Linked DNA regions of Callithrix jacchus. The protein of the gene in region 3 purifies or fractionates together with the protein of the main gene of each other region. This does not show direct contact. Links are inferred from orthologs where the notes say so. Each region holds a gene or a part of one and is shown on either strand. Other genes may lie near its edges. The genes, in order: HSF1, PDLIM7 and BAG3.

Region 1 (3,603 bases), on a different chromosome or scaffold from region 3:
CTATGAACAACCTGCAGGGTCAGTCCAGGTGTGGCTGTGAAGCCCTAACCAAACCACAGGACACGAGGTTGGGTGAAGGCAGACTGGCAGGTGGGCGACTCTCCTGACCAGAGGTGCTGCCCAGGCCCAAGCCCCTCTGTGTATCCTGCTGGGGCTGTGGTGGCCAACCCACCAGTGCCCAGGACCATGAGCCTGCCCTGCCTCCCCAGGACCAGCCCTGCACTGGGGGTGGGGGTGGGCAGGCCATGGCTGGCCCGGCTCCTCCCAGTCATCTAGGAGATAGTGGGGTCCTTGGCTTTGGGAGGCTCTGAGCCCGTCAGCAGGGAGATGGTGGGGTCCTCTGCAAAGCTGTCCCCTTCGGAGAAGTAGGAGCCCTCTCCCAGCTCAAACAGCACGGGCAGGTCGCTGCTCCCGGTGTCCACGGAGCCAGGGTCCAGCAGGAACAGGGGCTGTGCCGTGTAGTGCACCAGCTGCTTCCCTGTGGGGATGGGGGGTGTCAAGGCTGTGGGGGTCGGGGCAGAGAGGGAGGCTGAGGGGATCTGGCTCACCTGAATCCGGGCTGCTGTTCTCTGCCTCAGGAGGCCTGGGGGGCTCCTGGGGAGATAGGAGCTCCTGGATCTGTGGTGTGGAGGGGTACAGTGAGTATTCCTGCCTGTCTCATTCCCCCCCACCCCCCCACCCACCTACGCACACTGGCCAGGCTGCTGTCAAGGTCAGGCAGGCTCATGTCGGGCACAGTCACCGAGGGGCTGAACAGCTGCAGAGGATCGAGGGAAGTCAGCACTGCACCTGGGGCGGGATGGGGCGGGGTGGGGCGGGGTGGGGCTTGACTCACGTCCAGCAGGGCGCTGGTGTCCACACTGAAGCCGTGGCTGCTCAGCATGGTCTGCAGGTTGTCCAGGTTGGAGTCCATAGCATCCAAGTGATCACTGAGCTCATTCCTGGCCCGGAATGACAGGGTGGATGAAAAAGTGCCCCAGGCCCTGCACCCTGATGCCCTCCTGCAGAAGGGCTCCCCTTGGCTGTGTCCCCCAGGCAATGCCCCCGTGTAGGCCTGCACAGGCTGGAAGATGGCCTGGAAGGCGGTGGGGGGCTCTGTGCCCTGCATGGGTGTGGCTGGACCCATGGGGGGCATCCCGTCACCATGAGGGCCTGGAGGCCTTGGTGGCAGCAGGAGAGAAGAGGTGTATTCAGCTCCAGCATGAGGGTCGGGGTTTCAGTTTTCAGGGTTGCTGAGGTTTCCCGATGTGTTTGGAAAACGGCTGGGGCTGTGCTCAGCGTGTGGGTGGCTCAGCCGGTGGGTGGCTCAGCCGGTGCCCCAATGCTGCTGTGGGGATAAGACCCACGGTCTGGTGGCGGTGACCAAGAGAGCCCAAGGCAATGGGGCACACCTGAGCCATTGGACAGGCAGCCAGGCTGGATCCTGGAGGTGCCCCAGAGACCACTCCTGACAGTAAGTGCAGTCAGTGCCGCAGCCTGGATCCTGCCAGCACCAGAGGCCGTGCCAGACCAGGGAAGCCTGTCCTTGTCACAGGCAATGACCACAGGCCTGTGGCCAGGGGAGGCAGGATGACATTGAGCCCCCATCACGGAGGGGCCCAGAATGCTATTGCCCAGGCCCAGTGCTCATGCCCGGCCAGGCTGGGTGTGGTCCACAGCTGTGTGGGAGGGCCCAAGCTGTGGCAGGGCCCTCCTCCCTCCCAAGTGGGGTCAGCGCTAACCCTGGCTGGACTCGGCCACGTGGAGAGGAAGAGGGGCAGGGGAAGAGGCGGGTGACCCCAGACATCTGTGGAGTTCGAGCCAAACTGCAAGATACAAAAACAAGAGTCCCCATTGCAGGCAGGGGCTGGGCAGGGCCTGGGGGTGTCGAGGCTGGGCCCCGCTCACCGTCTCCTGCTGTTGGTCTGGGTGGCACGACTGATGCTGGGACCCGTGGCCTGTGGCGAGAGGGTGGCGGCAGCAGGAGGGGTGGCCAAGAGCAGGGCCCAGCAGCCTGTCCTGCCACACCCTCGGCTGCTATGGGGTGATCTGGTTGGCACCTGTCTCCCTCCCACCCCGAGCTGAGGTTGGGGCAGCACTCACTTGTCCAGGCAGGCTACACTGAGGCACTTTTCAGGTGTGGAGGTGGGCGGGGGTGAGGGGGGTCGGCCCTCGGTGTCCGTGTGGCCCCTGGCGTCCGTGAGGGCTGTGGCGGAGGCGGGGGCAGGCTCACTCTCCCGCAGGATGGAGTCAATGAGGGCGGTCGGGGACAAGAGGGTGTCCACAGAAGATGGGTTCCCGGGACTCGCCTCCTCTACCCGGGGGCTCTGAGGCGGGCTGGGGGGCTCCTCCTTGACACGCACCAGGGGGCTGCTGGACAGGGGCCTGGACACCAGGCGGGGCCACATTAGCTGGCGTCTTGGGCGGCCCTACCTCACCCCCAACTCTGCCCTGGGCCCAAAAGGGCTCGCCTCGTTGGGGGAACAGGAGGGCTGGGGTGATGTGGCCCCCACCTCTCATCTATGCTCCCGCCGGGGGAGGCCACGGGGCTGGCAGGAGCCAGCTCAGTGATGTCGGAGATGATGGGTCCAGAGCTGGCCACAGCATCGGGGGCGTAGAGGCTGGAGCTGCTGTAGGCCGGGGATGGGGCCTGCAATCAAAGGCAGGAGGCCCATGAAACTCGGGCTGGGGTGACCCCCCCATCACTGTCCACATGCCTGGATGGGAGCCCTGTCCCCGGGGCTCACCGAGTAGGGGCCCGTGCCATGGACGTGCTCCAAGGAGAACTGCCGGCCATACTTGGGCATGGAATGTGCCGAGCCGCTGTCGTTCAGCATCAGGGGGCTGCGGGAAAGGGTGCAGGTCAGCTGCCTCCCTGTCTTGGGCACCCAGGGCAGAGCTGACAGAGGAGGGGGATGGCCCTGGGCCCCGTGCCCCGTGTGGCGGATGCAGGTGTCCCCAGAACCTCACATCTTTCTCTTCACCCCCAGGATCCGGTTTGACTGCACCAGCGAGATGAGGAACTGAATGAGCTGTGGGGAGAGAGGACACAGTCACCTCGGCACTTGTGGGGCCCCCGCTGGCCCTCTGGCCCTGCCCCCACCTTGTTGACGACTTTCTGCTGCTGGGCATGCTTCTGCCGAAGGCTGGCCACCTCCCGCCACAGAGCCTCATTCTCACTGCAACAGACCAGGCTGGGTCAGTGGGGCCCAATTCCAGGAGCCCCACAGACCCTCCCGTCTCCCAGGTGGGAGCAGGGGTGAGTGTGACCATGTCTGGCCTGGCCCAGTCCAGTATGAGAACTGCTGTGTGGAAGGGCTAGGGGACAGGCCAGAGCTTGCTGGTCCCACTGCCCCTCCCTGCTGGGGACAGCTGGTGTCAGGTAGGGTGGTTGAGGACAGAGCGAGCCAGGTGCACCTGGATCCTGGCATCCATCCTGGACAACATCTGGAGGGATGCCTTAAGGGCAGACAGACCCTTGAGCCTCCCCTACGAGGCCTGAGAAGCAAAGTTTGGGGAGGATGGTTCATCAGGCTGCACCACCAGCTGTCCTGTGTCCTGCAGATGCTCAGGACCCTTGACAGGCCTAGGAGTGGCTCAGAGGTGGCCCCACGGGGTAGGGAG
Region 2 (3,603 bases), on a different chromosome or scaffold from region 3:
GCACCAGGTGGGTGGCCAGAGCCAGGCCAGCAGGAGACTCAGGCCAGGGGCAGGAAGCGGGGGTGAGGTAGGCAGAAGCTGGAGACACTAAGGGGGTGCCCTGGGCAGGAGGAACAGAAAGAGGGAGGCAGAGAGGGCAGCCGGCTGGAGAGGGCCGGGCTACGACTGCACGTTGAGCGCGTGGGCAGAGCGCTGGTGGTGCCAGTCTCGGAGGCGGGTGTAGCGTGGGCTCTGCAGCTCCAGGACATACTTTTCCCTGAGGGGCAGAGAGAGAAGGAGGAAGAAGTGGAAGGAAGGAGAGATGGAAGGGACATAGGGAGGGAGGAGGGTAGGAAGGAATGAGGGAAGGAAGGAGCAAGGGAAGGGAGGAAAGAAGGAAGGAAAGAAGGAAGAGGAGGAGGAGGGAGCGAAGGAAGGAAGGAGAATGGAAAGCCCCAGCTGGGAGCCTCAGGAGTAGACATAGGGCAGTAGCTGGAATGGAAGAGGCAGGAGGTGGGAGAAGGGCTAGTGCCCATTCTTGTACCTTGATTTCTTCAGGTGCTCCTCATCCGGGTCTTGCACTGAGAGGGCAGAGACAGGCATTGACCAAGAGAGACAGAAGGTCAGGGTTCACGCCTGGGCTGGAGGCCAGGAGAGTCCACCCTGCCTAGGCTGGCACTTACTGAACTCGGTGCCTGTGAGGTGGGCAAGGATGCGGAAGGAACGCGACTGGCCTGTCCCAGGCCGTGGCCGCCAGTCCTCGGTGTTCTCCATCAGCCGCTGCTTGCTGGCATCTGGGACCAGCGGTCGGAGCGGCTGTCTGTGGGGAGGGTGCGGCTCAGAACCCCATGCTGGGGGTGGGCAGTGGGGGCAGCCCCTCCCAGGATTTGGTGCATGTGGGTTACAGTGATGGGAGGGAGTGGGTAAGGGCAAGGCCAGAAGCCCTGCTAGGCGGGTGGATGAGAGGACAGGAGGGCAAAGTGGAGAGGAGGGCAGCCAGGGTGGGGAGGGGCCACCGCCCAGAGTGCCAAAAGGAAGAAGAGAGGGACAGGCAGAGGGGGCTCACTGACTTGTCAGGGGTCTGCACCTGTGAAGGAAATAGACAGATAGAGAGATAAAGGGACAAAGGGACAGACACAGGAGAGGAAGAAAGATGGGGAGGGGTCAGGGCAGCCGGGGACCAGGCAGCACTGAGTGTCTAGGGCTCAACTGGCCCAACACCATGACCCAACCCCAAGCCGCCAGCAGGGGGTGCGACCTCATTCAGAGACCCCTCCCCAGGGCAGTGCCCTGCAGGGTGCCACAGCCTTGGGAGGGGCCCTGTGCCTGCAGTCCCACCCCGGCCGCCAGGGGTTGCTGCCGCACGGTTCCGCCGGGCTGGGGCACAGCACAGACTGAGCAGCAGCGGGCAGCGGGCAAAGGGCGTGGGGCCACAAGGGGCCTGATGGCATGGGCACGGGCACGGGCGGGCCGGGGCTGACATACCCATTCTGCTGCGGGGCGTTGTCAGCGGGCGGGGGCGCCCCGAAGGGCCGGGCCGTCTTGTTGAGGGAGACGCTGGGTGCAAAGGTGTACCGCGGGGGGTCCGCGGCAGGGGCCGGGGCCTGAGCAGAGACAGAGCCGGGCAGGGCAGGCGGGCAGGGACTTGGGTGGGAGTGGGGCGCCCGCACCAGAAGACAGTGGCAGCTCCAGCCCCCCACACCCCCCACATCTTGCAGGAGACTAGGGGGAGACGACAACTCAGGTTTCAAGGGGCCCATTCAGGAGTGGTGATTTCAGTCCACGCAGGACCGAGGGCTGACCAAGTGCGGGCGAACACGCAGCACCGGCGGCGGGAGGCAGGCAGGCGGACAGACAGGCAAACATGCGTGGTGCCCAGACCGTGCGGCAGCCCCTGGCTCAACTCCAGGGCCCTAGACCCACCCTAGCTCCAGTTTCTGCCCTCTACTTCTGACCAGGGATTGGGGTACCGAGGCTGTGCCAGGAGGGCGAGCAGGTCTGGCTGTCCAAGCCCAACCCGCCCGCTGCCCAGATGTCCCGGCCCGCCTCGTACCTTCTGGGGTTTGCTCTGAACCGGTTGGGCCCTGAAGGAAAAGGAAAGTGTGACAGCGTGGGCCCATGAGAATCCCCATTGCTAGCGACTGTGCACCCATCCACACCAACGCGCATACCTGCTGAGGCCCAGGCTGAGGCGTTCCCCACAGGCCCGGATCTTGTTCTGAGCTTCGATGTGTGTGAGGCTCCCTGCATTCTCGCCATCGATGCTCAGCACCCAGTCACCAACGGCCACTCCAGCCTGTGCTGCTTTGCCTCCAGGAGTGAGCTACAGAGAAAAGCACAGTGACCGAGGTCCTTAGACTCTGCAGACCCAAGCCAGGTGGTAATGCTGCCCCACTTCTAGAGGCCAGAGAGCTCTTCATTCAACATAGTTCTAGGCAGCTGCTGGACACTAAAGCAACCAGGAGGTGGTGGCGCTCACCTGAGCTTCACAATTTCCCATCACACTGCTGATTTATTTACTCTGCACCACGACCCTACCCCACAGTCCAGAAATTCTATGATACCCACAAACAGCCATGCTCAGGCCCATGTGTTTCAGGAGGACCACCTGCCTTTTGAAGCACCTGCTGGCTGCCTGCCCAGGGCTGCTATACTACCAGATATGCCCTCTGGCCCATGCAAGGGGCAGCTTCTTCCCTGCTACCGCTGGGGGCTCTTATGGATCTCTTACCCTCCAGCACCCTATCTGGGGGCCATCTGCAGGGGTCCGCTGGGACACTTTGAGAGCCAGGAACAGGCCCTGTTATCTCCAGGTTCCCCATGAACACTGCCTGAATGGGGCCTAAGGTGACAGCTGGGGCTTCATAGGCCATACATGAGTGTCACTCCCAAGCCTTCAACTGCCAACTCCCCTGACTCCAATCCTTCAGGCTCTGAGCTGGGAGTCCCTGGTTCCAGTGGCAACAAGGGGTGACAATAGGCTGCGAGAAATGGCTGCCACCAGCATGAACTAAGACCATCAGGAATGACTTCAGGGAAGCTAAGAGAGCTCGGTGGCCCCTTCCTCACTCGCTAAATAAGAACACCTCCTTCAGTTTACTGAGCACCAAGTATGCTACACATTGCTGCATCTTCCAACAACCCTGTGGAGTAATCTGAGATTTTACCCATTTTGCACTTGAAAGTGTACACAGAGAGGTTAAACAACTTGACTCAAGTCACCCAGCAAGAGGCAGGGCCAGGAAGTGACCCTGACCCTAAGACTCCACCACTGCAGGCCACCTTTGCTGAGCATGGGGGCCCAACTGAGGGGTCAGCCCACCTCGAGACGCCCTGAGCTTCCCCCTCACATTTAATTCAAGCCAACTAAATCAACCCTTTAAACTGTGCGTGGGGAAGTGACACCCCAGAGGGGAAATGACTTACTCAAGGCCATGGTGAGTCAGTACAAGGGAAACCTGGCCCAGCCACTACCTGCCCACAAGGGCTGGCTCCTGGGAGGTGTGGGCTGAGTCCGAGGTGGGGGTCTTGGGGTGCACAGGAGCAGCTGGCTCCCGGAGAGAGGGTGGGGGATGGGGACGGCTTCCCTTTCCAGAAAAGGGCAGGAAGCACAGAGGGTGAAGG
Region 3 (4,237 bases):
AATCTGAAGTATGTAACCTGATGTTAACCAATCATTTCTCTCTCTCTCTCTCCCTCTCTCTCTCTCTTTTTAAGAGACAGGGTCCTGCTCTGTCGCTTAGGCTGGCATCAGGAGCACAATCATAGCCCATGGCAGCTTCAAACTCCTGGTCTCAAGTGAGCCTCCCACCTCAGCCTCCTGAGTAGCTGAGACTACAGGCATAAGCCACTGCACCTGCCTTATTTTTTTATTTTGTAGAGGTGTAGGTCTCACTGTGTTGTCCAGGCTGGTCAAACCCCTGGACTCAAGAGGTCCTCCAGTCTTGGCCTTCCAAAGTACTGGGATTACAGGCATGAGCCACAGTGCCAAGCCCTCATCCGTTATTTTTCTGTGATTCTCTCTGTCCCCTCCTTACGAGGAAAGTAATTTTAAAACAACCAATTCAGCCTTGGTTCTTTGTTTCTGTTTTCTTCAGCCCTTCTCTGTCTATAAAACCAACCTCTTCTGCTCGGCTTTTAGGAACACTTATTCTAATTTAATGGAGGTGTTGCCCAATTCTAGAATCACAAAATCAGTTAAGATCTTTAAACTAACAATAAAAGTTAACAAATAAAAACAAACAAAAAGATCTTTAAATTAAAAATGTTGTCATTTTCTCCTTTGGCAGGTTACAAGTGCAACCTCCATTCAATGAACCAAGCGAAAAAATGTCACGGTTAGGTTAGGTCTTTACTTCCCAAATGAGGGTCAAGATGTAGGATAGCAAGAACCAACCTCTACTATAAAAAAGATCCAAACCCAAGAGAATGTGATTTTTCTGTAAAGCTGTTTACTACAACGAAACTTTCTTTTTAGTCTGGGAGACTAAAAACCATCAGCTGACACAATCTTTTTTTCCTTGAAGTTTCCAAAGAAAGGCAAGTGAGTTTGCACTGACTTCCATTTTCTCCCTGCCTTCCTGCTAGTGTCAGATGAGCGTCCCCGCGCTCCTCCCAGGCAGCCCTCAGTGTCCCGGGCTGTCATATATGGGGGAGGGGATGGGGTGGGTGAGATGGCTTTGTTTGTACAGAAAGGAGGGGCGGCAGGCACGGGGAGGACCGGCTCCGGCCCAGGGAAAACTCACTAGGCGCTAAGGAGAGGGAGGGAGGGAGTGTGAAAGCCGAAACCCGCCCAGGGCGCACGGAGGACGACCCCAACTCAGTGCGTCCGGCGTCCCATCCGCAGTCAGGCCCCGAAGGCGCGCCCGCGGCCACTCCGGCCGGGGCACGCGCACTAGGAGGCTCGGGGAGGGGCGGAGGGAGGCGGGGGAGGGCGGGGAGGTCGGGGACGAACGAGAGGGCCGAGGCCCCGCCCCCGCCCGCCGCGATTATAGCCGATGACTCAGGGCGGAGCTCCGCATCCAACCCCGGGCCGCGGCCAACTTCTCTGGACGGGACTAGAAGTTTCTAGCCGGCCAGTTGCTACCTCCCTTTATCTCCTCCTTCTCCTCTAGCAGCGAGGAGGCTATTTCCAGACACTTCCACCCCTCTCAGGCCACGTCACCCCCGCCTTTAATTCATAAAGGTGCCCGGCGCCGGCTTCCCGGACACGTCGGCGGCGGAGAGGGGCCCGCGGCGGCGGCCAGGCCAGAGACTCGGCGCCCGGAGCCCGCGTTCCGCACCCGCGCCCCGGCGGCCCCCGCTCCGGGCCGACCCCAACCCCTACCCAGCATGAGCGCCGCCACCCACTCGCCCATGATGCAGGTGGCGTCCGGCAACGGTGACCGCGACCCCCTGCCCCCCGGCTGGGAGATCAAGATCGACCCGCAGACCGGCTGGCCCTTCTTCGTGGACCACAACAGCCGCACCACGACGTGGAACGACCCGCGCGTGCCCCCCGAGGGCCCCAAGGTGAGCCGGGCCCGCGGCCCGCCCTGGTCGATGGCGCCACCTCGACGGCGGGCGGCGGGAAGGGGGCCGGGCGGGTGGGACGCGAGAAGCGGGGCCCGGGGGTCGGCGAAGGCCCCTCTCAGGCGGACACCGGCTCCGCGCCCAGCCACACATTCCCGCGGCTCCCGGACGAGTCCCTGCTCCCGACCCGCCCTTGACAGGCGTCCGGGCCAAAGGAGGCCCCGGGATCCGGTGGCCCGGGAACCGTCCCCGCAGTGGCCCCTGTGCCGTCCGCGGCTCGACTCCAGGACGGAGGGCCGGGTGTCCGGCGCTGGCCTAGCCCTCCCGAGCTTGGAGGAGGGCAGCCGGCTTGGTCGGCTCCGGAGGCCGCAGTCCCTGCTGCCCGCTTGGCCTCCGGGCCCGGGACCCGCGGCGCACCCCGCTGTCCACGAACGCGAGGGAGACACAAGCTTGGATGGTGGTTTTGGGGGATTTTTACCTCTCAAGTTCCCTAACTTGGTTGAGGGATGTCTTCACTACTGTCCCATCTGAGGCACCCAATGACTCAGGAAGCTGGTGTCAAAACATTTATGCCTGTGTGTGTGTGTGTGTGTCAAATTAAAATTGTATTATTGTTTGAAAGTGCTTTGGATCTGTATGTATCCTATTATCACTTGTAAAATTAAAAACGGGGTGCATTTCTCCCCAGCAGTTTCTAAACTAGACGGGAGACTGTCTTACAGTTGGCCATTGCATTACCACATTGCCTCACCCTGGAGAGAAAGAGAACGATAATGTGTATGTTTATAATGGCATTCGCTTCCTGCCTTGTTATGGTATTAAAATACTTAGGATTTGTTACCAGTACACAAATAACTGAGTAATGATACTCTTGTGAATATAGCAGAAGTATGTCTCATTTACATATATGCAAGGATATATACTTTTTAATCCCCAAGAGCATGAAATTTGAAAACATAAGTTTGGAATGAGTCTGTTAATTTTCAAAAATCATACTTATACTATTCTTTCCATTTTCTGTAAATTTGAGCTTTCAAAATAAAAAGGTTTTAAAAATAATTATGTTATACTTAAAACGTAATTGTGACTGCTGTCTGGGCAAGATAGAAGCAGCAAAAGAGGTGATAAATTATTTTGAAGATTTAAAAACTCAGCAAATTAAAAATGCTTTGTATCTCATGATTTTAGAAGAAAGACCCATATTATTTCCCTTCATTTTTATACACGTTCTGTTTTAACAATATTGACAAAACTCTGGTTCCCAACAGTGAGATGGTGTACAGTCAGCAGTTTACATTTACGAGAGATTAATTGTATATTTATTCTTGAAAATTAATATAAGAGGCTGTAATTAGCTGGGATGGGCACAGTTAAATATACCTTTTTGGGTGTCCAACCCATTTTTGGGTGAAACTGACGCTCATTTCAAACCCCCTTTCTTAGCAGTCTGCGTGGATGTACATGATCTTTAGTGTGGTTTACAACTATTATTTTGAGGGCTTCTTCCTGTAGACATAGGGACAGTAGCATTTGCTGGCAGCCTTTGTTATGAGTGAAGATTAAGTTTGAATGTAAACATTGTCAGTACTTTGTTCTCAGCATGAAACTTACCCAGCAAGTTGAGATCTTCCTGTACCCACCTGGTGCCTGGGTTAGGCTGTGGTTTCCTAAACCTTAAAAGGAAAAAAGCAGGTTTAGTTACCATTATTCTTCTCAACAAATAGAAAGTAAGAACTACTAAATCAGAAGTCTGATGCTGGAAAGGTTTATTTGAAAATTTCACAGTGAAAATGTTAAAGTTGAAAGGTCCTTGAAGATCTTTTAGGTAGGCTTCTTTATTTTCTGAAAAAACCTGGAGAGTTCAGGTGTGATTTTTGAAGGTCACCCAGCTAGTACCGATAGCAGGGAGAGTACTGATGTCAGGAGAGTCCTCATAAGAGGCAGTGTGTCTGTTCAGAAGGTGGAAGTGAATGTTTTGTGAAACCGTGAAGCATGCAGGCTAAAATACTTGATTACCTTTGTGCCCTCCTGGCCACCAAGTTATTGGGTCACTGACCTCTGTGCTGTGATTGCTTGGATTTTGATGATGGGACATGATCAACTCAAGAAGAGAATTCTCGGGCTGGAGGCAGTGGCTCACGCCTATAATCCCAGCACTTTGGGAGGCCGAGGCGGGTGGATCACGAGGTCAAGAGATCAAGACCATCCTGGTCAACATGGTGAAACCCCGTCTCTACTAAAAATACAAAAATTAGCTGGGCATGGTGGCGTGTGCCTGTAGTCCCAGCTACTCGGGAGGCTGAGGCAGGAGAATTGCTTGAGCCCAGAAGGGGGAGGTTGCGGTGAGCCGGGATTGCGCCATTGCACTC

What was found.
Region 1: the proteins of BAG3 (region 3) and HSF1 purify together in Homo sapiens (affinity purification with mass spectrometry; 3 studies listed by BioGRID and IntAct, with this or other methods). This does not show direct contact. The link is inferred for Callithrix jacchus from reciprocal best matches to the Homo sapiens genes BAG3 and HSF1.
Region 2: the proteins of BAG3 (region 3) and PDLIM7 purify together in Homo sapiens (affinity purification with mass spectrometry; 3 studies listed by BioGRID and IntAct, counting the BioPlex papers as one, with this or other methods). This does not show direct contact. The link is inferred for Callithrix jacchus from reciprocal best matches to the Homo sapiens genes BAG3 and PDLIM7.

Annotation. Positions count from the first base shown.
Region 1 is NC_133517.1:53,316,889-53,320,491, forward strand, and holds part of HSF1 (heat shock factor protein 1), read right to left. Parts: intron 3,159-3,603; coding exon 3,083-3,158; intron 3,012-3,082; coding exon 2,950-3,011; intron 2,824-2,949; coding exon 2,727-2,823; intron 2,630-2,726; coding exon 2,493-2,629; intron 2,365-2,492; coding exon 2,083-2,364; intron 1,806-2,082; coding exon 1,722-1,805; intron 942-1,721; coding exon 692-941; intron 619-691; coding exon 549-618; intron 479-548; coding exon 273-478; 3' UTR 1-272. UniProt on the Homo sapiens protein: Functions as a stress-inducible and DNA-binding transcription factor that plays a central role in the transcriptional activation of the heat shock response (HSR), leading to the expression of a large class of molecular chaperones, heat shock proteins (HSPs), that protect cells from cellular insult damage.
Region 2 is NC_133503.1:68,644,032-68,647,634, reverse strand, and holds part of PDLIM7 (PDZ and LIM domain protein 7), read right to left. Parts: intron 2,303-3,603; coding exon 2,151-2,302; intron 2,064-2,150; coding exon 2,033-2,063; intron 1,584-2,032; coding exon 1,465-1,583; intron 1,067-1,464; coding exon 1,046-1,066; intron 800-1,045; coding exon 663-799; intron 587-662; coding exon of another isoform or gene 561-586; coding exon 524-560; intron 257-523; coding exon of another isoform or gene 160-256; exon of another isoform or gene 1-159. UniProt on the Homo sapiens protein: May function as a scaffold on which the coordinated assembly of proteins can occur. May play a role as an adapter that, via its PDZ domain, localizes LIM-binding proteins to actin filaments of both skeletal muscle and nonmuscle tissues.
Region 3 is NC_133513.1:113,172,108-113,176,344, reverse strand, and holds the start of BAG3 (BAG family molecular chaperone regulator 3), read left to right. Parts: upstream 1-1,374; 5' UTR 1,375-1,688; coding exon 1,689-1,868; intron 1,869-1,940; exon of another isoform or gene 1,941-4,237. UniProt on the Homo sapiens protein: Co-chaperone and adapter protein that connects different classes of molecular chaperones including heat shock proteins 70 (HSP70s), e.g. HSPA1A/HSP70 or HSPA8/HSC70, and small heat shock proteins (sHSPs), e.g. HSPB8.